7 linked regions of the Danio rerio genome follow. The protein of the gene in region 6 interacts with the protein of the main gene of each other region in a biochemical or structural test. Links are inferred from orthologs where the notes say so. Each region holds a gene or a part of one and is shown on either strand. Other genes may lie near its edges. The genes, in order: stat3, grip1, pcna, etv1, myb, ep300b and kat2b.

Region 1 (4,069 bases), about 8.0 Mb from region 6:
GTTTTAAGGCCTTAAACTTGGATTTTGAGATGTAAGATAGTTTTTATGACCCTGCAGAAACCCTGTTAATGAGTTTTGTTCTAAAACACGGTTTTTAGGTATATGAAAGGGCTGCACAAAATTGGGAAAAAAAACCTGACATTGCGATATTTTGTTTTTCAGCAATTTTCAGATTTTTCAGATTTTAAGATTTTATTACAATTTGTCAGCTGACTTAAAATTGGAAATACTTCATAACTTTAGTTTGATTGGGATGATTTTTAGTAGAAACACTCCTTCTAAAATATCTTCATGAAATACAATAAACAAATCACAAGCATAATTAAATACAACGCTGCAAAGATAAAACTGAAACAAACAGAGCTTTATGCTTTTTTTTCTGAGTTGTGTTCCATATTCAGACACAAATTATCAAATAATCAAATGTAAAATAAGACCATTAAATTCACCATAAACTATTTAATACGATTAATCTATCATAAAGCTACAAATATTATAATTTCTTGGTCTCAATTTATTTAAACTACAGTCAGCTCTTTGCGATATCAATGATGAAATGATATATTGTGCAGCCCCAATAATATCTAAGGTAATAGTAAATGACAAATTTAGTAAGTGTCTTTTGTAAATCATTAAAATGCATGATAGCAATTTTATTTATCAATGTTTGATAGCAAATTTTTTTTTATTCATTCATTCATTTTCTTTTCAGCTTAGTCCCTTTATTAATCAGGGGTCACCACAGCTTAATGAACCCACAACTTATCCAGCATATGTTTTACGCAGCACATGCCCTTGCAGACATAACTCAAAACTGGGAAGCACTCATACACACTTATTCACTACAGCCAATTTAGCTTATGTAATTCACCTATAGCGCATGTCTTTGAACTGTGGGGGAAACTGGAGCACCCAGAGGAAACCCACACAAACACGGGGAGAAGATGCAAACTTCAAACAGAAATGCCAACTGACCCAGCCGGGGCTCAAACTAGCAACCTTCTTGCTGTTAGGCGATCATGCTAAACACTGCGCCACCTTGACACCCCCAAATTATTTTTGCCTCTGAAAAAAAAAAACATTAAAGGGATACCCAAACACTCTGTAATCATTTACTCTCCCTCGTGTGGTTTTAAAACATGATGAGTTTCTTTCATCTGTTGGAAACAAAAGAAGATATTTTGAAGAATGCTGGTTGCTACGACCCCCTAAAATCCACAGTATTTTTTACTATGGAAGAGAATGGGTGCCAGCAAAAAGCATTCTTCAAAATATCTTTCTTTTTTGTTCAACAGTTGAAGAAATCTTAAACAGGCTTTAAACTAGTAAATGAAGAATTTTAAGGTGAACTGTCCCTTTAAGGACACTCTCTTGAGATACGGAGAAAAACTGCCAATCAGAGTGCACCAGTGTCTAACGTGTGCACATCTCTCGTCGGTGGGAACTGTGAAACTGGTTTCATTTGTCGAGTAAAGCAAAACTCGGCGAGGCGACATGAAAGCCAGAAGCGAGACTGCAGTGGCCGAGCAAAAGCGCGCGCGCAGGTCGGTCTCCATCACCTCTTACTCGAGGATTCCCTCGCCATGTACTGGAAGAGTGACGTCATGGGGCAGAGGTGGGGAATACCCGTGGAGGCAAAAAAAAAAAAACAACAAAAAAGATACCTATCCAACCAATGCAAGTACGAAAGCTGCCAGATTGGCATACAATGCGCTTTTTATGCTGAATCGGTGGCGCAAATCCAAGCCAGATTATTAAACAATAATGAGAAGTGAAATCAAGAGACTTTTTGTACTATAGGTGGTTCTAGTACTGCTAAACAGCTTGTTGTCTATTAATTTTGGTTGATATTTATTATTATTATGAACACGTACTTATTTTGCAAGTGTATGCAAGTACTTCATCACGAGGTGCAATATTGTAAATATAAATGCCAGTAAAATTGACTTATGAGAATTATGCCTTTTTAACACTTGTCTCTTTCTTTTTATTTGCTCCATTTCAATGTTTTTTTCTCTCTCTTTTTAATTGCTCAATTTCATTGTCTTTTTTTTTTTTGCTCCACCAGCATCTATCTGATACACTTTTCCACTATTATACCCTGCCAATCATGCAGATAAAGCGTTGTTGACCGACTCTGAGAGGATGAATGGATTCCAATGACAAGAAATGGCATCTATAAGCGTAAAATGACACAAACAAACAAAATCTGCATTGAGGAAAAAAACAACTACAACAGATCAAGTGAAGAAGAAATAAACTCTACAAACATTCATTCAAGCAAACTTAATGATTCTTAATACTTCTGTCACGTCTACTGAATCGACATCATACTAAAACGAGTTTGTTTGTTACACATGTAACAAGTATCAACTGTTGTCTAGTCAGGTCACAGTATCTTTTAGCTTCATTTAACAGCCAAGTGGAAACAATGTGTACATTATTTCCGTCACGAGAAATCAATCTAGCGGTTTAACGTTATAACATAATTCAAACATCAACACAAGCAGAACCACCTGACAACAGAAAGCAATGTACACAACAGAAACATCCCCAAAAATTGCGTCAAACTGCGTTTTCCTTTAAAAAAGCGACGTGGCTGGACAACTTACCCCTTAATGTGTCGCTCAAGGTTTCAGATAAATCGTCCTCCACGGAAACAAGCGCAGTCAACACGTTATTGACTACAAAAACAAGCGTTTTAGAGACGATATGCTATCGTAAAACGAGCTTTTCCAACTTTTCTGACACTGCAAACACGCGAGCTACGGTGGTCTGTGCGAAAATGGGCTGCACGTTTGCGGTTCCGCTTTGATTGACATGTCTCTGACGCAGTCGCGAGCGAGTTTAGAATTCTGTCCAATCGCTGAGCTCGAATGGCGCAGAAGAGGCGGGACTAAGCGCGCGCCAGCTCGAGGCCGCCTGTGTTTGTTGCTCTGGCTGTGCAGGCTGTTCCGGCTGCCGGTTCCTCCCGTGTAAAACCGTGTTGTGATACGCAGCACAGCGGGGGGAAATCCAGCTTCTGGAACAGCACGGCTGGAAGTCATCTGAATTACTGGCAGCGCCTACGTCATCTGGACTTTTAATTCAGTGGATGTGAAGTGTGTGCTGTCGTGACGTTTGGCGTCATCAATGCGTCTCTTTATATAACTTTGTGCACCTATTCAGCATAGTGATAATTGAAAAGCCATTAAAACTGTCCAACTGTGCTCTAGTTTCAATATTTTTGATTAATGTAAATGTCTTGCTTATTTGTATTTGTAAGAATGTTAGTTAATTACTTATACTTTTGTTTTTTATGTTTGTTTTGTTTATTTATGTTATGTATTGTTGTTATCATTTACTTTCTATCACCATGTATATCATCATGTATCTGTTGTTTAAAGCATAATAAATAGAATAATAACGAAATATATATATATATATATATATATATATATATATATATATATATATATATATATATATATATATATATATATATATTTTGTAACTTTGTGCACGTTTAAGTGTGTGAACACAAAATAAAACATGTTTTAATCATCATTTCATATCAAGTTAGAGTAAGTATAGTGTAAAATAATGTCTTATTTATTTCTAAGAATATCAAGTTTAAAAAGTCAACTATGTTAGAAACTTTGACTTTACAAATAACTTTGTAAACTTTGAGCAAACAAATAAACAGTTTCTTGGCTGGACTATAGCTTTGTAAATGAAGACGTCTGGTTTAGTCAATAGCTGCACATCTTTTTGCATTTATGATTAAAAGGTTTGTGTGTATATGTTTATTTTTTATTTGCTTTTTTTATTATATTATAATTTTTATTATTTCAAAACTGATATGTGCAGCTACCATGGTATTTTTGACCACACATATTGAAATAAAACTCCCCTCTGATTTTCCCGAAGAAAATAAAAAATAATTTAATTATATTGTTACTTTTAGTTTAAAAATTGATCTTCCAGGTATACGACTGTATTTTTAACCGCAGATATCGTAATAAAAACCCCTCTGAAATTCCCAAAGGACACCCATGTCGAATTAACTTTCTGTTATAATCAAGCGGCT
Region 2 (3,500 bases), on a different chromosome or scaffold from region 6:
TGTTTTGATAAGAAAGGTGGATATGCACATTGAGACGCAGGGATATCGGTGGTTCATATGAGTCATTCATAACACAAACCAATCACTCCCTCTGTTAAAAGTGAAAGCAGGATCAGAGGGGGTGTTTCAGAACACTGATTAAATCAAATTTTACAGGGTGGGAGGATAATACATTTCCATGCACACAAGCACATGCTTTTTGTCACCAATAAACATGTGGTTACTTATCCATCAATATAGAAAAGTGATGTAAAATTATAATTTTAGTAAGGTCAGTCCTCCACTGCACCTTGGTCCTACATTCATTACAAAGGAACGCTACCCTGTACTAAAATGGCGGCTCTATTGATGCATTCCTTTCAATAGACAACATAGGCTTAAGCGACATCTAATGTAAATATATATGCGCAAAGACTATAGAATACACAAGACATGTTACTCCTATAGTTTTGAATAGGGAAAAGTGTAATGGTCATATGGCGAATGAAACCCCGCCTTCAAGTACAGGAGCCAATCAGCGATCGATGTAGACTGACGATTCCCTGTGGGAGGGGCTTGGATCAGACGTGAGTTTCTGCAGATTTTAAAAGTTTAGAAATAAAACTAACGAGACAGATTTTGTTTAGTTTTATTGGTGCTTCCTAATATGAAATTTAATCATACGCAATTTTGGAGAATGTGATGTTTCCCCATTCAAACAGAATGCCCGAGGATACTGCCCAAGAGGCGTTTCAAAGATGGCTGCCAAGTGAAATGGCTTGCATTTGAGGGACTTTGACTTGCCCCACCTCTGAGTTCCTCTGATTGGTCCACTGCTTTGTAACTAACATTGAGCAAGTTGAAATTCTTTTAATTTGACATGGTGTTTTTCATCAAGTCTGTATTTACATAGACAAACAATGGAGAAGTAACACATTGAAATAGAGAAACACATTCTGTGTGAATAACTGCACAGTTTGGATACTTGATGCTGATTTTTCAGCCATAGTAATCTGCATTTTTAGAGTAATAAACAATTAACTGTTTACTGTATTTGTTTATATTAATATATAATTGTTCAGTAAGTTTTGTGCTGGTATCTTGGCTAGTTTAGCCCTGTCATCAATAAATAAATATGACAGTGAAACTGCCAGGAGGCAAGTCCCAGCCTTAATGAAGGACTCATTCATTAAAATGATTTGTTCAAAACAGCTGATTCATTTAGCTATTAGGTAAGTGTCATCATCCAAAATCATCCAAATAGCCCATTGCACCCTACATGCAAAGTGCCACATCACATCTTTTAGAATTCTAAACATTGATTTATATGAGGGTACGCACATCGCTGCCAACATTTTGCATTGATTCACATTGCTTAGCAATATATAGAAAGCAATGCAAAAACAAGGCACAGCAAGGCTGGTGTATAACCAACTTTACTGTAAAGCAACAATAAAACAAAAAAATAAACATCTCTTTTTATTTGGCCAGTGTTCAACATAATACTCTCAAAAATGTAATTAGAGCAACACCTACAACTTCTTGATGACCTTCATCATATATTTTGGAGAAAATGTAAAGCACAGCTCACTCCTTTGGTTTTCTTTTTAACAATGTAAATGTATTAAGTGGTTCAGGCAATGTATGAGTGAAAATCTGTCCGTGGATTGTTATCATCATAGATGATAAATATTATGCACCAGCCTGCCTCTGATTCATTGCAATGACACCTGTTTTATAACAGCACACTTACACTGAGTTTCTTCACTCTCTATATGATGTAATCTGTAGTTTGATGTTCATTCATATGCTCTGGTCAAGCATTGAAATCTTGACAGAACTTTGAACTGTTCATTTCTTTCCTCAGCTGTACAGGGCTCAGGGGTCATGTTCAAAAACGTGGAGGTGACGCTGCACAAAGAAGGCAATACATTCGGTTTCGTCATCAGAGGTGAGCAGACTTCCACACATCAGAGCTCAATGCGCTTCATTCACATCTACATCAAACAAAGAGAGACCATTCTTCGCTGAAGATTTATTTTGCTGCCCTTGGGCCTGTTGAAAGAGACGCAACAGCTTTCAGTAGCACCGCTAGCACTCGATTTCTAAATATTTACCAAACAGCATTTTAGACTTCATTAAAAGAAAGACATCTTTTTTTCATATCCATCTAGAGTATGAAGTCTTTTGAAGAGCGGCAGAAAAAAAAAAGCCAAGGTCTTGGTTAGCTTTGCTCCTTTTCTCAAATCATTCTCAAAGAGGCATACTAAGGACTTCCTTTTCATCTTTGAGACTCCATTTGTGAATTCAATGGCATGCAATTTTATAGCGAGCAGCGGCTTTAAAAATGTATAATCTTGTGCTTTTGTTGAAAAATATATGGAAATTTCATTGAGGTGAGAAAACGGCCTTTATTGTCTTTCAATAAGACGCTGTATGGAGCTGATTGGCCAAATGTACTGTATGTTAAAGCATCGGGTGTACTGTATGTCTTGCTGTATGACTTCATTTGATAAACATGTCAATACGAGTTGTTTTCTTCCTATGATGTAGGAGGCGCCCATGAAGACAGAAACAAATCTCGCCCAGTTACCATAACAACCATCAGACCCGGCGGTCCAGCTGACAGGTGAGTTGTTCCTGAACTCAGCTAGATTCATCAGCACTGACATTAAAGCTTTCTTCCAAAACATAAACAGCATCCTGAACAAAAGTGGCTGAAAAGAGACTGATTAGAAACACTCTGATCTAGGCAGGAGAAATTTCCATATTATACAAAAAGTCGAAAGTCTAACAATTGATTTCGGTGGAGTTGGTGTTAGCATTTTGCTTAGCTAATGTCAGTACTGTGATTCAGTAAACAGATGAAACCTAGGAATCTTGTTCCAATGAAGTTGTTTATTCTTTACTTACAGAAACTAAAGCATCTTCAGTTTTAGAAATCACAAAGTATTACTTAGTGTTCCCAGAGTTCTAATTATGTAAAGCCCCGGCCAGATCATACGGTTTTTATTGTCAGTTATGAAAGTCAAATTATGCGATTTTGTCTTAATCAAATCTTAACTTCTCTTGGGCAAAAAATGTGCCAGACTAAAGGTTCCTTCACAATCAGTCATCTCGTGACATCCACAATAAGCGTTATTTCCCAAAGCAGTCACAAGTGTTGCTATAACAAAATTTCTTATCTTAATTTCAATGTTTTAAAATTTTATTTCAATTTCAATAAACACTGATGCTTGCTGACAATTAGGTCATAAAATTGTTATAATATAAAATTTTGTTATAACATTGATGGGATCAAACGTTTATTTTCTTTTTAATATTAAGACTTATTTTAATATCTCCATTTTTTTAAAATAAGATAAATGCTTAAAACTTAAAATAGTCTTGTAGCATTTACAGTGCTGTTGACTGCCAAGAAATTATTATGTAGTTGCATTTTTTATTTTATTTTTCTGTGCATGTCATATTATTTTTAACTCTTGCATGCTTGTTTGCTCTCTGTGGTGCTTGCAATGGGT
Region 3 (3,993 bases), on a different chromosome or scaffold from region 6:
TCTGATAAAATCCCAGATAATTATTAAATCACTTATAACCTACTCTTTTAGGGTAGCTTTTTAGATTTATTATTATTGTAAGCGTTTGATTATATTCATTGCATTTTTTTTGCATTCATCCTGTATGCATCTTTAACAGCTGCACATTATGTCTGTAAAGTGCCCCGAGATGCTACTTTTAAAGGTGCTAAATGAAAATAAAGCTGCTTATTATATAAATCTGATCAATCAGATGGGGCCTTTACTACCTTTAGCCCCGCCTCCTAAGTAGTTGCTGTTCTGCTATTGGCTGGATTGGCTTAAAGGTGAAATCAGAGCTAAAAAATGATTCTCACTAATAGTGCTTTAAAGACTAAAGGTTTGCATCTTGACAGTTTTAAGTCTGAATTAGATCTGGAAAATATATTTTACTTGTTTATTGCAAAATCATGAAATAATTTTTTTAAAACAGCTAATTAAATTGACTTTTTCAGAGAAATGTTTGATTATAGAATATATATTGCATATTTTTCCCAGTATCGTGCAGCCTTAAATGAATAGTATGTTACCGCTTCATCCTCCTTGTCGACGTTGCTGGTCTGTGAGAGCTTGATGTTGCCTGTGCCCAGCTCTCCGCTGGCAGAGAACTTCACGCCATCCTTGGCACACGAGATCATGACAGCATCACCAATCTGTGACAGATCCCTGCAGATGCGGGCAAACTCACCCGACGGCATCTTCACCACACAACTGTATTCCTGCTCCTGAGGGGAAGAGAATAAAGCATGATCATTGCAGACAAACATCCACGATCATATCAGAAATAAACAGGAATCAAGAGAGGGAAACTCAATAAACTTTAAGACCTCATCGCCATTTTAGGTTTTAACTTAACATTGGTGACAATTCAACTTGTAGTATATTTACTAAATACTGATTGTAAGAAACGAATCCTAAACTAAATCGGTCATGTACTGAATAAAAATGCTAATCCCAACAGATGGCACCTATAGAACAGCAGGAAACATAGGCTTGCCTTTATTACTGCAGTAGACAAAGCAGTGTGATGCCAAATCTAGCAGGATTTTATCAATTTCATAAACCACACAGATTAAATTTAGGCAAACTTTAGCACACAACTACACATTATATAATCATAAAATGACCAAAACAATTATATCTTGTAAAACAACAGTTAAGGCTGTTTAATACCAAATTGATTTATCAACTTTTAATGACCCTGCAGACACCCTGTTATAATAAAGTCTTACTGGAATGCCAAGCTGCTCCACATCCAGATCCATCAGTTTCATCTCATAGTCGGACACTTTCTCTTGATCTGAAATGAGATGTAAATATTAGTATGGATTATTAGCTCTCCAGCAAAACTTAACTTTTGGTTTCATAGTAATAGTTGATAACATGGTGAAGAAAATCCATACTAGAAGCATTTTTTTTATGTGATGTTATTAACCACAAAATGGCTCCAGTATCTATGCGAATTTCATTCTTACATTTTTGGAGAAAATTATTATTAGAAAATTATTTTTAAATATTAAGTATTAATTATTTAGCTTAACTTTAATGATTCATTTTAAACCAAAGCCCATGTTTTTAACAGGTATTGCTGATAAATCGATATTAAAATACTGCAAATATAAATTTAGCAACATAAAATAAATTCATAATAAAAAAAAGTTTTTTTTAATTGTACACTATCAAAAGTATTGCTATTCCTAGTTTAAAAAGAAGTTAACTTACTGAGCGTTTCAAAGACCAGTGCCAAGGCGTCAGCATTGTCTTCAGCTCTGAGTGTGATGATGTCTTCATTTCCAGCACACTTCAGAATCTTCGACATGCTAGGAAACAGATGAATAATAATCAAAACACGTTCACTTCAGGTAGAAAAACACCATATTGATCGTAAAATGGTTTACCATTTACATTCGAAACAGTCATGGCATACACAAAAAGTGTCTAAGCAGGTTTTCTTTGTCTAACACCAGAGCCATGTTGTCATTCAGCAACCCGGCATTTTCTTTCCCGCCAACAAGCTTAAGCGCGCGCAAGTGACGTCACGATCAGTAGAGCGTGGGACGAATGCAGGAAACTGCGCGCCAAATTAAACTGATAGCCTATTTAAAACACAACCGTAAAACGGCATACTTTAATAACAACTACTGTAAATAAAATACTTTTGTCACTTTATAGTCTAAAAATGGCGCGCTGCTGTGTAGAGGCGCAGCCCCGGGCATGCGCAGACATGTTCAAACTTCACTCACCAAGTAAATACGAGTCAAATAACACAAAAGGCGCTTGATTTAGTCAGTGATTTTACCTGCTCAGATTGACCCCCATGGCTAGGTTTCTGTCGCAGCGGTAGGAGTCGAACCCGTCACTCCGGAGCGTCAGCTGCACCAGAGACACATGAGAGGAGTCCATACTCTGCAGAGAAATGCCCGACGAGCTCACATCCCAGCAAGCCTCGGTGATCAGGTCTTTCAGAGCCTCCAGGACCTTCTTAAGGATAGATCCCTGAACCAGACGTGCCTCAAACATTGTGCTGCTTTCTTAGTTTAGAGTAGGAGGAACTAAAGTTATCTAATCCTGTTACGACACAAGCTGCGGCCTGGTTAACTGCTTGTTTTCCAGCACAGGAAAGCAGAATCCTAAACTATCCTAGAGTTTAGCAGGTACTAATGCAGAGGAGGCACGGTGCAGATGTGCTGTCCACTGTTCTGGCGAGGCTCTGAATGTAACTGCGCGCGCTTTCGCCGGGATTTTGTTAAACTGACCCACTGTTGCCTTCGTCATTTCCGCTGACGTTTGACTCCTCCTGGAACGCAGACAGAACTGCGGACACTGACCAAAAGAGGGCGCAATTTGGTCAGAAGGTATGAGTTATTCACAACATTTATGAATACCCATTACAGTGCGTTTTAATAACCTTTACCCCCACCCAAACCCTAAACTGACCCGTCACTGTGGTGTAAAATATTATATATTGTCGTACAGTGTGAAAAATGATGCTATGTCAACGTGCGCATGCCCAAGTATCCACAACTGTATCCCTTTTTTTGTTTCTTTGACAAATTACTGTGCTGTTGCTAGAAGGGATACAGCTACGGTCGGCAGTTAACGAGAATTATTTATAAAATTTATAAATACCCATTACAGTGCGTTTTAATAACGTATACCCCCTAACCAAACCCTAAATTGACCAGTCACAGTAACGTAAATTATTAATTATTGTTGTGCAGTTTACCAAAGATCAGACTATGTTGATGTGCGCATGCCCAAGTATACGCACCTGTATCCCTTTTTTGTTTCTGTGACAAATTACTGTGCTGTTGCTAGAAGGGATACAGCTACGGTCAGCAGTTAACGAGAATTATTTATAAAAATTATAAATACCCATTACAGTGCGTTTTAATAACGTATACCCCTAACCAAACCCTAAATCGACAAGTCACAGTAACGTAAAATATTAATTATTGTTGTGCAGTGTACCAACGATTGATGTTGATGTGCGCATGCCCAAGTATCCGCAACTTTTTGTGTAACACATGTTTTGTTGCTAAAGGATATAGCTGCGGTCTTCAGTTAACAATAACTACTTATAATATTTATGAATACCCATTATAATGCTTTTTAATAACGTCTACCTTACCCAAATCCTAAATCGACCCATCACAGTAACGTAAAATACTGTTGTGTCACAAAAATCATGCTATGTTGATGTGCGCATGATCAAGTATCCCACAACTGTATCCCTTCTTTTGTTTGTGTAACACATTTATGTATGTATATATATATATATATATATATATATATATATATATATATATATACATACATACATACATACATATATGTGTTACACAAACAAAAGAAGGGATACAGTTGGGGATACTTGAGCATATATATATATATATATATATATATATATATATATATATATATATATATATATATATATGTATGTATGTGTGTGTGTGTGTGTGTGTGTATGTA
Region 4 (4,038 bases), on a different chromosome or scaffold from region 6:
AATTGTTCTCTCTCTTTATGTTCTCTAAGATAAATATTAGGATCTTGATGGGCATGCCAGCATTAATATCTTTTATTTATTTAAATCTGTGGCCTCAGCAAGCTTAACATTTTAGGTACATTTGGGTACTAATATGCACCATTAAGGTACCACTGTGGACTATGTGGGTACAAGTATGTATCTTTTAAAAAAGGTACTGCCCCAGCAACAGCTCCTGTACCTTTATTTCTGAGAGTGTATAATATTATAATATTATAGTTATAAGTAATTAATTAGTATGTTAATGTTACAAAAAATAATAGAAATAAAAAGATGTTTATTTTTCACCTTTCAGTAAATTTTATTTTTACATTTTAACTCTCCAAATGTGAAGAATGAATTATATTTCATATATAGTATAGTAATGATAACATAATAAATAATAGAACATGTTGTTTTAACTCTTTAAGCATGTACACTAAAATCTATTATATCAAAATATAATAAAATAATCAATAATCCAAGAAATTTATCAACAAAAATATTTAATGACATTTAATGTGACATTTTAACTATTTATTGCTTATATTATATTATAAACCATACATGTTTTAAACTTAAACATAAATCTATATAATTTATTATTTAATAACTTGTTTTGTAATTAAATAATAGTTATTTAATTGGAATTTTATGAATTATCAATCTTTTTTACATTAATAACAAAAGTCTGAAAATATGCTGCTTTTTTGCAGACATACTGTAAATATCTTATATTGGCTCACAGTTAAAATTTGAGTATGACTACCAATTTTTAGACTCAAAAATGTTAGGAAACATTTCTAACTCCAATCAGAGCCCCATTAAAAGTTCACTGGGGGCCTCTAGGGGGCCACGGACTCCTACTTCAGAAACACGTTAAACCACCCTAAAAAAAGGATTTATTAACAACAGATCGATTTGCTTTTTAACATGTTTCTGTGATGCACTTTTGTAGCTTGTTCGATCATTTACAAGAATCCTAAACTGGATGCACAATATGATATTGGGAACTTTCACGCACGCAATTTACAAAACATCAAACCACAAGAGGGATTATAATGACGAGATGTGTGTTCTCATAAATAAACACCTTATAATTGCAATATCAGTTGTGCACATTTTAATGAATTTGGCAGTTGATTGACGGCTGGAAGTCTGAGGACAGTGGCAGCCAATGGGAAGCGGGGCTCCGGCTGTTTGGGAAGGGAGGCCCCTGGAGCAGCAGACGGCGAAGCTGAGCGCGGAGAACAGACACGAGCGTCCGGTGAAACGTCCGTCAATGAATCCGGTGCGTTAAGTGAGGTGAGTGCAAGCTTAAAGTTCTCCATCAGCTTCGTGAATCTTGTCTCGACACAAAACAAAAGTGTTTCCAAAAGTCCCGTCCCTGCGGAGGACCGCATTACGCACGCACAGCAGCGCAGTATCTTTCATTGCAAATGTATTTACAAAGTGTCACACATCTGCTGCTTTTTATTGTCTGTTTGATAGGGTGTGGAGAGAAAGATGTGTTTGTGACCGGAGCTCGCATCATTAAATCGCTTCATTAAATCGCTGAATCTCCTGTTCTGATCGGACGGCGCGCGCTCACGGTCCAGACGCGGCAGAATGGACGGACTTCACGACCAACAAGTGCCTTTTATAAAGTCTCATGTAAGTCTGGTGAAGCTAAACGCGCAATTAAGTTGATATATGATTTGTTATGTACTTGTGTAATTGATTGAGGACAGTTGGCGTTTTTATGAAACGTGACAGGAACGTGCCATTGACGCGCGCGATTCTGCAGCATAGGGAGCTTCACTCATTTTTGACGACATATACGATCACTGATAGTTCAAATGTACATATTATAATAGCATTTTATCTTGTTGTGGTGTATTAAATTACTTAAATGACATAATTTATCGTGCTTAGGCTTATAAACGTCACTTTTTGTGCTATTATTCAAATAAAAGGAACTTCTGTCACCTTAATTGATTCTGACTAATAAACAGTCACAGGTAATCTAAACGTACAGATTATAAAATCTTTATAACTTGTTTTAAAGTACTGTAATTTATTAATTTATCAGTTCTAGTTGTATAAAGTCTAGCTTTTAATATGATTCTTCAGTTTAAGTCTTTAACTTCTGTCCTCTAGAAAGATTTACATAGGCTAAATATTAAATGTGGCATGAGATGATGTGCATTTGTGTATAGAATGTATAGAAACTTGGTTTTACAACTTTTTAAATTAGGCAACATTATCATTTAGGCCTGCTTTTGAGCATTTTTTAAATTAAAAAAATAATTGGTGGCTTGTCATTTTTGTCAGTCCAAGACTTATCAAACTTTTCAGCTAAATTGGAAAAATAGTAATTCTTAGTAGATTATCAAGTCCACCTGAGGGCTGATCAAGGCCACCAAACATCGATTTTACCCCAAGAAATAAAAAAAAGTTTGATTTCTGAGTATTTCAAAGAAATCAAAAGAGCCTGAACACTACATCTAATGTAGGCTATGGTGCAGAAGTCTTTCAATAACCATCTCAACTCCCTCTGTCTTCATTTGAGCCGATTGATCTGTTGCTTTCTGTCCAGAATCCTCGGGGAAAGACGTCCGGCACGAGACCAGCAAAGGACAGAAAAAGAAAATTCATTAACTCTGACCTGGCGCTGGACACTGAGGGTAAGCACTCAGGTGTGGGGTGAAACAGACAATGTTCATTTCACGCCTTCTTAACATCTCGCTAAAATGCAATATCGCCCTTCGCCACCTGCACTCAGGGGCTTTAAAAAATCTCAATCAGCAGCGCTCGCCTCGCTCTTTGAGTGTCAAAACTCATAATTAAACCTTTGTACCTGTTGTTTCACCATCGTCTCTCTTTTGTTTTTTTGTTTTCAGAGCTGTTTCAAGATCTTAGTCAACTTCAGGAGACCTGGCTCGCCGAAGGTAAGCTCTGCTCTGTTTACTTGAGCTTCTCATCGGTTGATCGAGCTTTTGTTTCCAAGCGGAGAGAGAGAGAGAAGATTCTGGGGGAGGGGGAGCAAATATGCCTCAAGTTACAGACCTAATCTGCAGTCCAATTAATGCATCTGTAGCGAAGGCACTTGGTGTGTCATGCATACATTAGTGCTGGAGAAGAGCAGGAGTCTAGGGGGAGACCGAGGAGGTTCTACTTTGAGTGTCATCACAAATTACCAGAAGAACTTGTGCAGTCGCTCGCGCTCACTCTCTTCTCCTCTCTTCGTCCGCTTTTGGCAGCAGCAAAGGCAGACGAGCCACCAACACTGCCACCTTTCTCTCTCTCCCTCTCTCTCTTTCTCTCACGCGAACACTCTCTTTCTTTCCCTCACAGCTTTCCTTTTTCTTACTCTCTCTTTGTGTTTTAAGTTTTTAATCTGTCTTTATTTTTGTTGAGAAATGGATTGACGCTTGATCGTTTATTAGAGCTTCAACTTTTATTAATTTTTTTTCATCCGTGCTAACTTTTTTTTTTTTTCGGTTTGTTTTTGGCCATTTTTTTCTGTCTCATGGCAAGACGTGCTGGTTGTGGTGTAACTCAAACGTGATGCTTCAGGAGTTAAACGCGAGTGTCTTCTTCCCACCTTGCTTGCAGCACCGACCTTTAGGTTAGTAAATGGTTCACTTTGTGGTTGATTGTAGATGTGTTTAGACATATTTTTAATGTGATGTAAGTTTGGTTCTATATGAGAAAAAAGATTTATGCCATTAATAGCAGTTTTTACTCCAAACTTGCAAAATGTTGCAAATATAACCTAAAAGTTATTGTTTTTTGATAGTAAACTTAATTCTGATAGTTTTTATGTGAAACTGTTGATTGTGACGTTAAAGATGGCTTTTCTTGTCTTCGCTTTGTTTCAGACTATTATTCAAACTAATATGTTATGCTACCGATGGTTGCTATTTAAACTTAAAGTCATTTCTTTTTCTGAGAGTTTAATTATAATTCTGTTATTTAAAAAATATATATATTTTTCAGATTTTTCAAATATTTTCAAAGTTTTTTACTATTATTATA
Region 5 (3,944 bases), on a different chromosome or scaffold from region 6:
CCATAAAGGAAAACGTGCATTTAGGAATGGGGAACTTTAAAAACTGCCCCAATCGAAATAATGTTTTTGAAAAGTTTATCTGTACGGCTCAGCGGTTGTTTTGCGTTTGAATAGCTTCGCAGAAGAAAGAAAATTCTGCACAGATATTTAGGCGCAACACTGCTGGATTCACATTTCGATACACGGATAGCAGTTCGAACCTCTGACAAATGACTCTTATGATCCGGTTCTTTTATGGAATCAAATACACACAGCCTTCAGCCGCGTCACTGTGTTGACCAACTCGAGCAAATGACTCTTATGAGCTGATTCTTGTTAGTGACACGGCGAATCAATTATTACCTTATGTCCTACTTAAAAAGAAACTAAAACATCCCATAATACTTTCCGTATGTCCCATTGATGTGTACAACACTTGAAGTTTGGTTCTCTTGCTTGGAAGTAGACAAAGCCCAAACATTTCTGTATTAGCTGGTTATTTCAGCGCATTAGTAGTAGCTTATTTATAAATATGATGTGTTAAAGTTGTGTAATCAGTTTTGTTATAAATAGTGGTATTTTGAAAAATATGTCTAGGCTACATCTACCACGTTTTTTTAATATGTTTGAAGTTTGTAATTACTGATTTGCATTTCTTTTATTAAAAAGCCACGAAAATGTAACATTTAGATTAATTTATTACAAATTTAGTTGATTATTTAAAACGAATAATAATTGTTATTAATTTTAACAAACATAATTTAAACCGTTTTAAATATTCTTTTAAAATCTAACTGAATTTGTTAAAGGGAGTCGCGACTGGAACCACAAGCCAGTTTTTCTCACCATCCCTCATTAGAGTACAGCAGCTTCAGTACCGCAGAAACAGCGATAAACTCGAGAGAGGATGCCCGGACCCCCTCACGCTCTGTTTCTCCTTGTTTGCCAAACTTTCACTCCCACTCAGAGTCCACATTGTCCTCCAAGAAACGCGCTGCCACCCCTCCCTGCCTCTTTACCTCCAAAAACACAATATAATTGTTCCAAAAGCACAACAGTGGACGATTAGCGCGGACCTCTTGCTCAAAAGGCGCTCTTCTCAGTGAATAGTCGAGCGGATGGTGCGCATGCGCAAGACCCGAGGCGCCAAATTTAGCGGGAGGGAGAAAGACAGCCCAGCTTTGTCTGATGGATCTGTTTACAATATCGCACACTCCACTAGAGAGCTTAATATCAGCACTTCCTCCTCGAAGAGGAGCTGACAGCACTCCACCTTAGCACACTTGAGCCGAGCGCACTCACCATCACATCTCTACCTTCCTCTCGAACAGCGGGATGGCGAGGCGGCACAGACACAGGTGAGTTTTAAAACTTATGCATTATGATGAAAACTTTCGCGCATGTATTTCCTTATACTGTGAGAATGCGCTCCACAGCCACATGGAGGTATATATATGTACACACGTATAAACGGCTTGTCCTAAGAACATTGTATTTCAGAAAAGGCATGCTCAAAATGAGAGCTTTGTTGCATTTTTATAATCGCACGCATCTTAGTCTGCGAGGACTGGCATTTGTTGTGGCCGCGCGCGCTGAACAGGTGGATGGCATGTGCGCTCTCCGCTCGCGCCCGCGCGCGGTGGTCTCGCGCTCGCGTTCATTTACATTTTCATTCATCCACCTGCGCGTGCGAGTCCGCTGGACAGGTTAAGGTTTGATTCGGTACTTCCCCAAAAAGAAGAACACTCATTTAGATTCAGAAACAACAGAGGAGAGCCGCAATGTCAGCGGCTGTGTAGCGTAGTTGAAAAATAGCGGGCGATTGCCAAAAACATCTCGGTGTGTTCGCGTACTATTTCTACTAACTGAGTTTTACTCTTTTTCGGAAATGGCTCTGAATTATATCGTTTGGATTAATTTTGAGATTACACGTGAGCCGGATGGATTATAATCACTGAGTTTTCTAAATCCGCTTTACATTTGTCGGTTGTAATAACTAGCGTGGTATTATAGTCTTAAAGGGATAGTTCGACCCTACATGAAATGCTGTCATCGTTCACACACCCTCATGCTGATCTTAAACTGTTGTAACTTTAGCGTCGAACAAAATTAAATAAATGAAAATGAGGCAGAATGCGAGTGAGGGTCTGACAGTCTCGCGAGCCATTCACTTTCACTGCATCTTGTTTCTATTCAAGTGAATGGAGACTGCGGCTGTCATTCTGCCTGTTTCCTTTTGATGAAATATTACGATAAAAGATGAAACAAAACTATAAGTTCAGCAGGTTAATTTTGTCTTTTTAAGTTTACTTCAAATTTTGGAGCGTTTACAGTTAGCTAAATTCACTTTAATGTATATTAAGTTCACACAACGGGTTAAAAGTGAGAGTATTTCGTTGTATTTGTCACTTAAGCTAATAATAAACTACTCAAAAATTCCTCTGAATTAGTTTTCAGCCACAGTGAGACTATTTTGACAGGTATTTAAAGTCACAGTACAGTTACTCAGCGCACACTAAAGATGAAACCATATATTTGACTACATATTTGCTTGGACTAGGTGCGTTCTGAGTTTTACATTTCAGTGTAAACACTTGTAATCAATGCAGCGAGCTATCATCCTTATCTTTTGTTTTGAGTACTCGCATTAAGGATAAACATGAGATTTAAAAGTACATACACATACACCTGTGGCACAAAGGCAAGGGGAACATTGTTCTCCACGTCTGCTTGTGCTCAACCCTGATTGGCCCAGAGCCGGCCAGGTGAGATGGTTTTGACAGTACCTGTGCAGGTCTAAACACGCTTCTATCATGAAACAGTGCCAGTCCACGCACACGCTTGCTGTTTCTGTGGAAACCAAAAACACCAGAACAGGTTTCTGTGAGCGTGTCCCCCCTGCACCCTAACCTGCCGGCTGTACTGGTTCATCCACTCCAGTTTTGTGTTGACTGTGTTATCGCTTAATTTTTCTATAACGCGTGATAGATGTATGGAGGTGAAAGGGTGCTATTTGTGTATGTCACCAACACACATCTGGTTCATGAAGATTCCTCCCCACTCTTCTTATTAGTGCTCTCTCTATTATTTATTCTATATTTACCCTTGGTTTGCTGTTTTATTATTACCCCCCCTTCCCCCCCCCCACCCGACTCACCCTCTCTTTGATACCTTACTCTCTTTATCTCACAGTTGATCATTTCTCTCCCCCTCAGTGTTTACAGTAGCGACGAAGATGATGATGATGTGGAGATTTATGATCATGACTATGATGGTCCTCATGCCAAGACAGGAAAACGCCACCTCGGCAAGACACGCTGGACCCGTGAGGAGGTACATAAAACTGCTCTTTGCCTTTGTTTAAGTGTTATTTTTGTGCTGTTGTAGTAGTTTAACACTTTGATCTATATTTAATTACAGATATATAATAGCATCTATATTATAAAGATATAGTAACAATGATCTATATTTGCTAACAGCATTTTGACCAATTGCAAATATAAGTAAATTATATATACTTACACACAATATTATTTTTGTAATATTATTAATTTTCGCAATATTATTAATAAATCTTATGATACTATACCAGCTATAGTATCATGATACCAAGTTGTATTGCAATACTGTAAACTCAGATTATAAAGAAAATTTGTCAGAAATACTGTATTTTATGTTATAATAGGCCTATTTGAATTTAATTCATAACTCCCTTATTTTTACATCTAAATGTTATATATAATACAAAAAAAATCTGTAATCTATATTTGAATTATTAGCCCCCCTGTTTATTTTTTCCCAATTTCTGTTTCAAGGAGATTTTTCCAACACATTTCTAAACGTAATAGTTTTAATAACTCATCTCTAATAACTGATTTATTTTATCTTTGCCATGATGCCAGTAAATAATATTTTACTAGATATTTTTCAAGACACTTCTATACAGCTTCAAGTAACATTTAAAG
Region 6 (3,500 bases):
CACACAGCTGACACCCAATCTTATATCTTTGCCCCAGCCTGGTGCAGGAGGAGTCCCAGCTGGAGCTCCCCAGCAGTCTCCTCAGCATCCTGTCCACCACCAGTTTCAGCAGATGCCTGGAGCAGGAGGCATGATGAATTCACAGCAACAACAAATGGTTCCTCAGCAATCATTGGGACAAGTGCCACATCCACACAATCAATATGGCCCCCACCCCACAGGTCCCTCCCCAAATACCCAGTCCCAGGGTAAACCAGGCCTTGGTCCTGCAACTCCTCCGCAACTCCCCAGCAACCCAGGCACTGTACCTATGGCCCAGCAACAACAACCTACAGGTCCTCCGGCAGCCGCTGTGGAGATTGCCATGAAGATTCAGCAAGTGGCAGATGCACAGCGGAAAATGGCACAGGTTCAGTTGCTACAAAGACAAGCTGCCCAAGCAGGAATGATGCCACAGCACCATCAGCAGCCACAGGGACAGATTGGAGTGGCCCATCCTGGAATTGGTATGGTAGGGCCACAAGGCTTAGCCTCGCAGGCACAAACATCAGCGAACAGGGTGCAGATGGAGCAGCAACAAGGACCTCAGGGAATGATGGGAGCCGGGCCCATGCAGCAACAGCAGCCTCAACAGGTCGCTGTGCAAGGTCAGATGCCCCCACAAATGCATCCACAGCAGCCGAGAATGAATCCACCACTTCAGCCTCAACAGCAACAGTGGCCAGGGCAGGGCATGCCTACCCAGCAGAGACCTGCTATGATGTCTCAGCAGGGAATGGTTTCAATGCAGCCCCAACCGCAGCCGCAACAACCATCACAACAAACGCAACAGCAGCAAGCACCCCAAATGCCAAATCGAAATGCCTTGATGAGTATGGTACAGGCTGGTCTACAGAGTGGCGTAGCAAGTGGGGCTGCAGCTAGCAATTTGCCCCAGGGAGCCTTGCAGCAGCTTTTGCGGACTCTGCGATCTCCAAGCTCTCCTCAACAGCAACAGCAAGTTCTCAACATTCTCCGGTCTAGCCCACTTCTAATGGCAGCATTTATCAAGCAACGGGTTCACAAGTATAAAGGAGGTACAGGTGGCCCCTCTGGACCGCAGGGAGGGCCAGGACCTATGGGAGGCCAACCTGTGGGTGTCAATACTGGGGTTCCCCAACCTGGTATGCATCTTGGACAAGGTGTTAACATGCAGAGTCAACTTCTGAGTCAACAACAGAGCCAACAGCAGCAGCAAATGCAACAACGACCGCTCCTGCAACAACAGCAAGTTGCTGCCTTGCAGCAGCAGCAACAACAACAACAACAGCAGCAGCAACAACAACAGCAGCAGCAGCACCAACAACAACAACAGCAGCAGCAGCACCAACAACAACAGCAGCAGCAGCAAGGGATTCAAGGACAGGGGACCCCAAACATGGCCAATCCACACTTCCGAGAACTAGTCATGAGAAGGCAACAGCAATTACAGTTTCAGCAGCAACAGCAGCAACAACAGCAACAACAACAACAACAAATGAGCAATCATGCGGCATTCCAGCAGCAGCAAGGTTACATGAGTCAGCAGGGTAACATGCAAGTCCCGCCAGGAGGTCAGCCACTGCAAGGAGTACAACCTGGCCAACAGCAGAATTTTCCTGGAAATCCTGCACAGCAACAAGCTGCAGCTGCTTTGCAACAGAGGCTTGCGCAGCAGCAACATCAGCTACAGATGCAACAGCAGCAGAATGCTGCAACACAAGGTCCTGACATGGGACCTGGAGGAGGTCCACAGCCCACACAACTAGGTCCAGGTCTTCAGTCACCACAGGCATTATTGCAACAGGCTTTGCATCAGCGTCTATTTCCGCAGCAGCAGCATCTTAGTGGCACCTCTCCGGCACAGCAAAACAACCCAATGAGTCCACAGCAGCAACAGATATCTCAGTCGCCCCACTTGCAGGGCCAGCAGCTCCCATCCTCCCTCAGCAACCAGGTCTGTTCACCACAGCCATCTCCACGACCCCAGTCCCAGCCACCTCACTCAAGTCCGTCCCCACGCCTGCAACCTCAGCCCTCACCTCACCACATCTCGCCTCAAACCCAAACAGGTTCTCCGCATCCCAGCCATCTTCAGCAGCATCACTCAGGCATGGCTCCACCTCCTCCACCCCACCAACAGCCACAGCACAACTCTAAGGACCCAAGCGGATTTGGCGCAGATCAGAATGCCATGCTTTCTCAACTCAGTGGCATGGCGGGACTCCACGGACCAGGAGCGAATGATATGCTGCCTCCTAGTGGCCAGGACCTTGGCATTAACATGAATCTAACCCTTTAGATCATATAGTTATTAGGAAATTTACAAAACCTCGCCAGAGAGTGTTAGCATTTTTTACAAGGGTGAATTTAGTGTTTTTCAACATTAATGCTTTGAGAACGGGCCCTTCTATGAGAGAGATCTCTTATATTCAACACAAATAAGTATATGGGGGTGTTTTTTTTTTCCTTTTGCCAGATATGTACAAAGAGAGGATTGTTTCTCAGCCTCAGAGAACAAACCACAAGTAATATTTTCAATGTCAGGTCCAGGGGAGTACTTTTCCTTTTTCAAGAGATATTTTTTAAGATTTTAAAAGTGGTATAAAAATAAAGCGCAAATGACTAAGGACTTCTTTTATATATATCGTTTCACCATGTACCAGTCTCTGTTACATGTTTTACAGAGTCACATGGAACATTTCAGCTATTGTGATGCCTATATAGTTATTATAATTATCTGAACATCATGCATATCTTCCTTGTAAATTTTGAGTTTTGCATTTTATTTATTCTAGCTTTTTCATTTGTCGTCATGATGGATTTCGTTCATGTGCGTTCCCAGAGACTGCTACAGTTCACATAGAATATATTTTTGTTAATACCTATTAAAATGGGGAGCTACTCCTTTCCTTAAGCTGGAGATTTAGGTTGACTATAATATAAATTACAGTGTTGGGGGATCGGGTTTGGTGTGCGCTCCGCTGCCCATTGGATCTTATTTCATGCCATATTGGAAATTCCTTTGGACATCACTGCTTTTGCAACAGGACGAGTTGTTGGACGCACACACCGGCCCGCCCGCCTGCCCTCAGAATGTGTGTGCACTCCTTCTAAGACTTACTGGATAGTGGAGCTGTCTGTACAGGTTGGGTGAGAGAATGTTTTGTGTATATGTGTGTGCGTGTGTATTAGAAGTGGTGCTGGAGTTCTGCTCATGCCAATGCCATATTGAGCAGCGTTTCACTTATGAACTGTATGGCGCAGTGAAACAACAGAACATGAGAGGCGTGTGTGCCACTGATATTACCATTTTTGTCCTTCAGTACCACTCCTTATTTTCCTCCACCTCCAGAATTTCCTTTGCGCTGAACTTTGGGAGCTTAATTTGAATATTTTGTACTGTACAAAGGAAACACAAACTGTGGACTTAATACTTTTTTTTAATAAAACGAAGATAACAAATTTTATTTATTGCGCAT
Region 7 (3,500 bases), on a different chromosome or scaffold from region 6:
GACCATGTCTACATGCCTAAATGCACTGAGTTGCTGCCATGTGATTGGCTGATTAGAAATTTGCGTTAACGAGCAGTTAGACAGGTGTACCTAATAAAGTGGCCGTTGAGTGTATATTAATGTAATTTTACATTCCGTATATGTTCTGTGTATATTATTACAACTGTATATATTCGGTTTGCAACTGTTTGTCCAGCTTATTTGTTTAAACTGTTACAGCTGCTAAGGAAATGCATCCTGCAGATGGGAAGGCCAGTGGTGGAGGCTCTGGAAAGCCCGCCTTTTGAAAAACCAAGCATCGAGCAGGTAACTTCTCAACTGTAAATAGCAAGAATATTTTTTCATCATTACGAATGAATCATTGTCTTAATCTTTACATTTAATAAGCTGCATGTGTTTGGTGACATACTTAACTAACAAGTCAACCTCTTCATCATGATCATGTGCGAACATCAGTGATATTGGTGTCAGGAATGAGCATTTATGATATAACTTTTTATAACTTTTCTTCTAAAACAGACTTTGGTGAAAACCACAAGCTCCAGCTTTCTTGCTTAATTTGTAGGCATTGTACTATAATTCTGATGTACAAATATGCTAAACACCCAAAGACACATTCCTAAAATCCTTGCTGTTGGAGACACATTTATGTTTTTTTCCTGTGTTGTTTTTGTTGTAGGGTGTGAACAACTTTGTGCAGTACAAGTTTAGCCACCTTCCGTCTAAGGAAAGACAAACCATTGTGGAGCTCGCAAAGATGTTCCTCAACCAGATCAACTACTGGCAGCTAGAAACGCCCTCACAAAAAAGACAAAGAGCACCAGATGATGATGTAGCTGGTTATAAAGTCAATTACACCAGGTGATTGCTAGTTTTTTTTACTTTACACTAAGGATTAGTTCACCCAAATATGAAAATTCAGTTATTAAGGGCTCATAATCATGTCATTCCAATCCCCTGAGACTTTTATGCAACATTTAGAACACAAATTAGGATATTTTAGATGAAATTTGAGAGCTCTCTCATCCTCCCTTAGCCATGTTTCCATCTAAAGATGGAAATTAAATTTATGTGCAAAACTGGAATATTGCATAAAAGTTTTGTGAATGAAGCAGCATTTAAACCCAAAGAGTCAAAGAGAACAAAATCGTTAACTGGTGCCGAATATCAAAAATAAAAACAGAATTTGCTGTGGTAGGATGAGCTGCATTAATCTTATTCATTTAATAAATTATTTGAAGACAATGCCGACATGCAATAAGCGCGTGGTGGCGTTTGAAGATGTGAGATGCGGAGCACAGTCACTTTTGACAGTTCTGGACGTAATAAATAATATATTACCACTAATACTGAAATAGTTACAGCATTTTAGAATGACCAAAACAACATTTCAGATATTTTACAATGTGGTCAGCCTGCTGGTTTGTCCATTCACTTACATGTTATTATAATCACACGCTCTCCTCTAAAAAAAATCACATGACTTTTTAATGCGCATCCTGAAATTAGTTTGGTAAAAGTGTTTCTATCGTAGTTTATAGCAGTTGTTTCTTATTGAATAAAAAGTTAATATTCAAAGTTTATGTGCATCTTGGCATTTCTATCAACCATTTTTTATGCGCACATCTAAAATGCACATAATAATATTAGGTGGATGAAAAACATAGCTATTGACAGCACTGCACTAAAAAGTCCAAAAAAGGATCTAAATCATTCCATGTGACTTCAGTAGTTCAACTTTAATCTACAAGGCTCCAACATCGCTTTTGTGTATGAAACCACATTCACTTTTGGCAGTATGTAGACATGGGGCAGAATAAGTTTCTGACGGTGTCAACCTTGGATAAAAATATCACAGTGTTGTGATTACTGCTGTAAAATAAGTTATTTTTAAATGTCTTGGTAAAAAAAAAAAAAAAAATTCCCCCCTAATGAACACAATATATTTTATTTTAGGAAACATTTAAAATTTTTTGGAACAGTAAACATCTCAGACTAAAGAATAATAAAAAAAGGCATTTGCTATCTTCATTAGTTTCAAAACCAGGTTTCTTTACAAACCTTAAAAAACTCTTAAACATACATTTGAAGTGGTTAAACAGAAAGATTTTGCGGGTTTTAAAACTTTGAATTTTTCAAATCGCGGTAAACCTTGAAACCGGTTTTCGTCCCATGACTGACAGTGTGACATATTGCCAATAGAGTCAGCAGTGAAACTTCCTTGCATTGTATTGCCCATATGAAAGAGATAATTCATCCAAAAATGCGTATTTAGTCACTATTTACTCAATGGGTTCCAATACTTTATGAGATTATTTATTCTCTTGAACACAAAAGAAGATACTTTGATCAAAGCTTAAAACCTGTAATCATTGACTTCCATACTAGGAAAAACAAATACTATGGAAGCCAATGATTACATTTCCAACATAGATCTTCTTTTGTGTTCAACAGAAGAAAGAAGCTCAAACAGGTTTGAAACAAGTAAAGTGTGAATAAATATTGACAGAATTTTTTTTTTTATGTGTCAACTATCACTTTAAATTAGTACCCTTATTTGGGTAATTTTTATTGTATTATTTTCGATACAAAAATATTCTTATAGCTTTTGTATGATTTCAGTTGAATCCCTAAAGTCACATGAAATGTTTTGACAATGCCTTGGGTCCTTTTTAGAACATTTCAGCATTGTTGTTTTCTGTAGATGAAGAAGCTCTTGGATATTATCTAAAATAATCTTCGTTTGTGTTTCGAGGATGAATGCAGGTTCATAAAAAAAGTTTTTCTTACTTAGAATTTTTTACTTGTTTCAAGTCCAAATATTTAAAAAATTGTGAATAAAAAAATTCTAATTTATTTTTTTTAACTTAGTTTTACTTTTAAACAAGCTAAATTATCCAACAAACAAAATAATCTTCAGTTTATTTTTAATTAAATTATATATCTTTTTAAAGTGATCCGCTTATAACGTTATAAAGATTTTGACCAACAATTATCACAATTTAGAAGTATTGGTCTATTTTCTACAACACACAAACAACATTTCTAGTAAGTGTTTTGTGTTGGAGAGATTTACTCCCTTTGGCTTTAACAAAATCATCTTTAATAAATCATCTTTTCGAAAGGTATCCAATTGTTCAACAGATGGTGCACTAACGAAACTGTTTAAATCAAACTCAGCCATACTAATATTATGCTCTAAAACTCCACTCAATCACTAATCTTCATTCACTCAAAACTCAAAATTGATCCGCTGTCAAACACACATCGTCTCACTTCATCCCATAAAGAGATAAATTTAAATAATCTCACCGCTGCCACCAATTAAATGTTACGTGTTTTATGATGTTAAAGTGGGATGCTGTAATATTTAAGTGACACAGGTGTAATGTGTGCGACAGATCAAGAATGAGGCAAGGTTCAGTTACTCTTATTTAAGCTTTTTACTTAATAATTGAAACATGTAACAATAATAAATGGGGAAAAAAAACATTTATAAT

Evidence for each region.
Region 1: of the proteins of ep300b (region 6) and stat3, one has a biochemical effect on the other in vitro, tested with the Homo sapiens proteins (2 studies listed by BioGRID). The link is inferred for Danio rerio from reciprocal best matches to the Homo sapiens genes EP300 and STAT3.
Region 2: the proteins of ep300b (region 6) and grip1 form a complex in vitro, tested with the Homo sapiens proteins (2 studies listed by BioGRID). The link is inferred for Danio rerio from reciprocal best matches to the Homo sapiens genes EP300 and GRIP1.
Region 3: the proteins of ep300b (region 6) and pcna form a complex in vitro, tested with the Homo sapiens proteins (4 studies listed by BioGRID, with this or other methods). The link is inferred for Danio rerio from reciprocal best matches to the Homo sapiens genes EP300 and PCNA.
Region 4: of the proteins of ep300b (region 6) and etv1, one has a biochemical effect on the other in vitro, tested with the Homo sapiens proteins (2 studies listed by BioGRID). The link is inferred for Danio rerio from reciprocal best matches to the Homo sapiens genes EP300 and ETV1.
Region 5: the proteins of ep300b (region 6) and myb form a complex in vitro, tested with the Homo sapiens proteins (3 studies listed by BioGRID, with this or other methods). The link is inferred for Danio rerio from reciprocal best matches to the Homo sapiens genes EP300 and MYB.
Region 7: of the proteins of ep300b (region 6) and kat2b, one has a biochemical effect on the other in vitro, tested with the Homo sapiens proteins (4 studies listed by BioGRID, with this or other methods). The link is inferred for Danio rerio from reciprocal best matches to the Homo sapiens genes EP300 and KAT2B.

What each region holds. Positions count from the first base shown.
Region 1 is NC_133178.1:15,703,973-15,708,041, reverse strand, and holds the start of stat3 (signal transducer and activator of transcription 3), read right to left. Parts: upstream 2,801-4,069; 5' UTR 2,613-2,800; intron 1-2,612. UniProt on the Homo sapiens protein: Signal transducer and transcription activator that mediates cellular responses to interleukins, KITLG/SCF, LEP and other growth factors. Once activated, recruits coactivators, such as NCOA1 or MED1, to the promoter region of the target gene.
Region 2 is NC_133179.1:13,709,656-13,713,155, reverse strand, and holds part of grip1 (glutamate receptor-interacting protein 1), read left to right. Parts: intron 1-1,846; coding exon 1,847-1,930; intron 1,931-2,532; coding exon 2,533-2,608; intron 2,609-3,500. UniProt on the Homo sapiens protein: May play a role as a localized scaffold for the assembly of a multiprotein signaling complex and as mediator of the trafficking of its binding partners at specific subcellular location in neurons.
Region 3 is NC_133185.1:46,058,752-46,062,744, forward strand, and holds the start of pcna (proliferating cell nuclear antigen), read right to left. Parts: upstream 2,801-3,993; 5' UTR 2,539-2,800; coding exon 2,318-2,538; exon of another isoform or gene 2,265-2,317; coding exon of another isoform or gene 2,233-2,264; exon of another isoform or gene 2,043-2,232; intron 1,839-2,042; coding exon 1,741-1,838; intron 1,319-1,740; coding exon 1,251-1,318; intron 744-1,250; coding exon 549-743; intron 1-548. Other genes in the region: E3 ubiquitin-protein ligase TRIM69, read left to right, coding at 2,233-2,264. UniProt on the Homo sapiens protein: Auxiliary protein of DNA polymerase delta and epsilon, is involved in the control of eukaryotic DNA replication by increasing the polymerase's processibility during elongation of the leading strand.
Region 4 is NC_133190.1:36,829,714-36,833,751, reverse strand, and holds the start of etv1 (ETS translocation variant 1), read left to right. Parts: upstream 1-1,238; 5' UTR 1,239-1,323; intron 1,324-1,509; 5' UTR 1,510-1,626; coding exon 1,627-1,671; intron 1,672-2,596; coding exon 2,597-2,684; intron 2,685-2,900; coding exon 2,901-2,948; intron 2,949-3,178; exon of another isoform or gene 3,179-3,567; coding exon of another isoform or gene 3,568-3,628; intron 3,629-4,038. UniProt on the Homo sapiens protein: Transcriptional activator that binds to DNA sequences containing the consensus pentanucleotide 5'-CGGA[AT]-3'. Required for olfactory dopaminergic neuron differentiation; may directly activate expression of tyrosine hydroxylase (TH).
Region 5 is NC_133198.1:34,756,884-34,760,827, forward strand, and holds the start of myb (transcriptional activator Myb), read left to right. Parts: upstream 1-1,144; 5' UTR 1,145-1,314; coding exon 1,315-1,337; intron 1,338-3,194; coding exon 3,195-3,312; intron 3,313-3,944. UniProt on the Homo sapiens protein: Transcriptional activator; DNA-binding protein that specifically recognize the sequence 5'-YAAC[GT]G-3'. Plays an important role in the control of proliferation and differentiation of hematopoietic progenitor cells.
Region 6 is NC_133178.1:23,740,361-23,743,860, reverse strand, and holds the end of ep300b (histone acetyltransferase p300), read left to right. Parts: coding exon 1-2,320; 3' UTR 2,321-3,488; downstream 3,489-3,500. UniProt on the Homo sapiens protein: Functions as a histone acetyltransferase and regulates transcription via chromatin remodeling. Acetylates all four core histones in nucleosomes. Histone acetylation gives an epigenetic tag for transcriptional activation.
Region 7 is NC_133194.1:23,131,025-23,134,524, forward strand, and holds part of kat2b (histone acetyltransferase KAT2B), read left to right. Parts: intron 1-219; coding exon 220-306; intron 307-679; coding exon 680-861; intron 862-3,500. UniProt on the Homo sapiens protein: Functions as a histone acetyltransferase (HAT) to promote transcriptional activation. Has significant histone acetyltransferase activity with core histones (H3 and H4), and also with nucleosome core particles.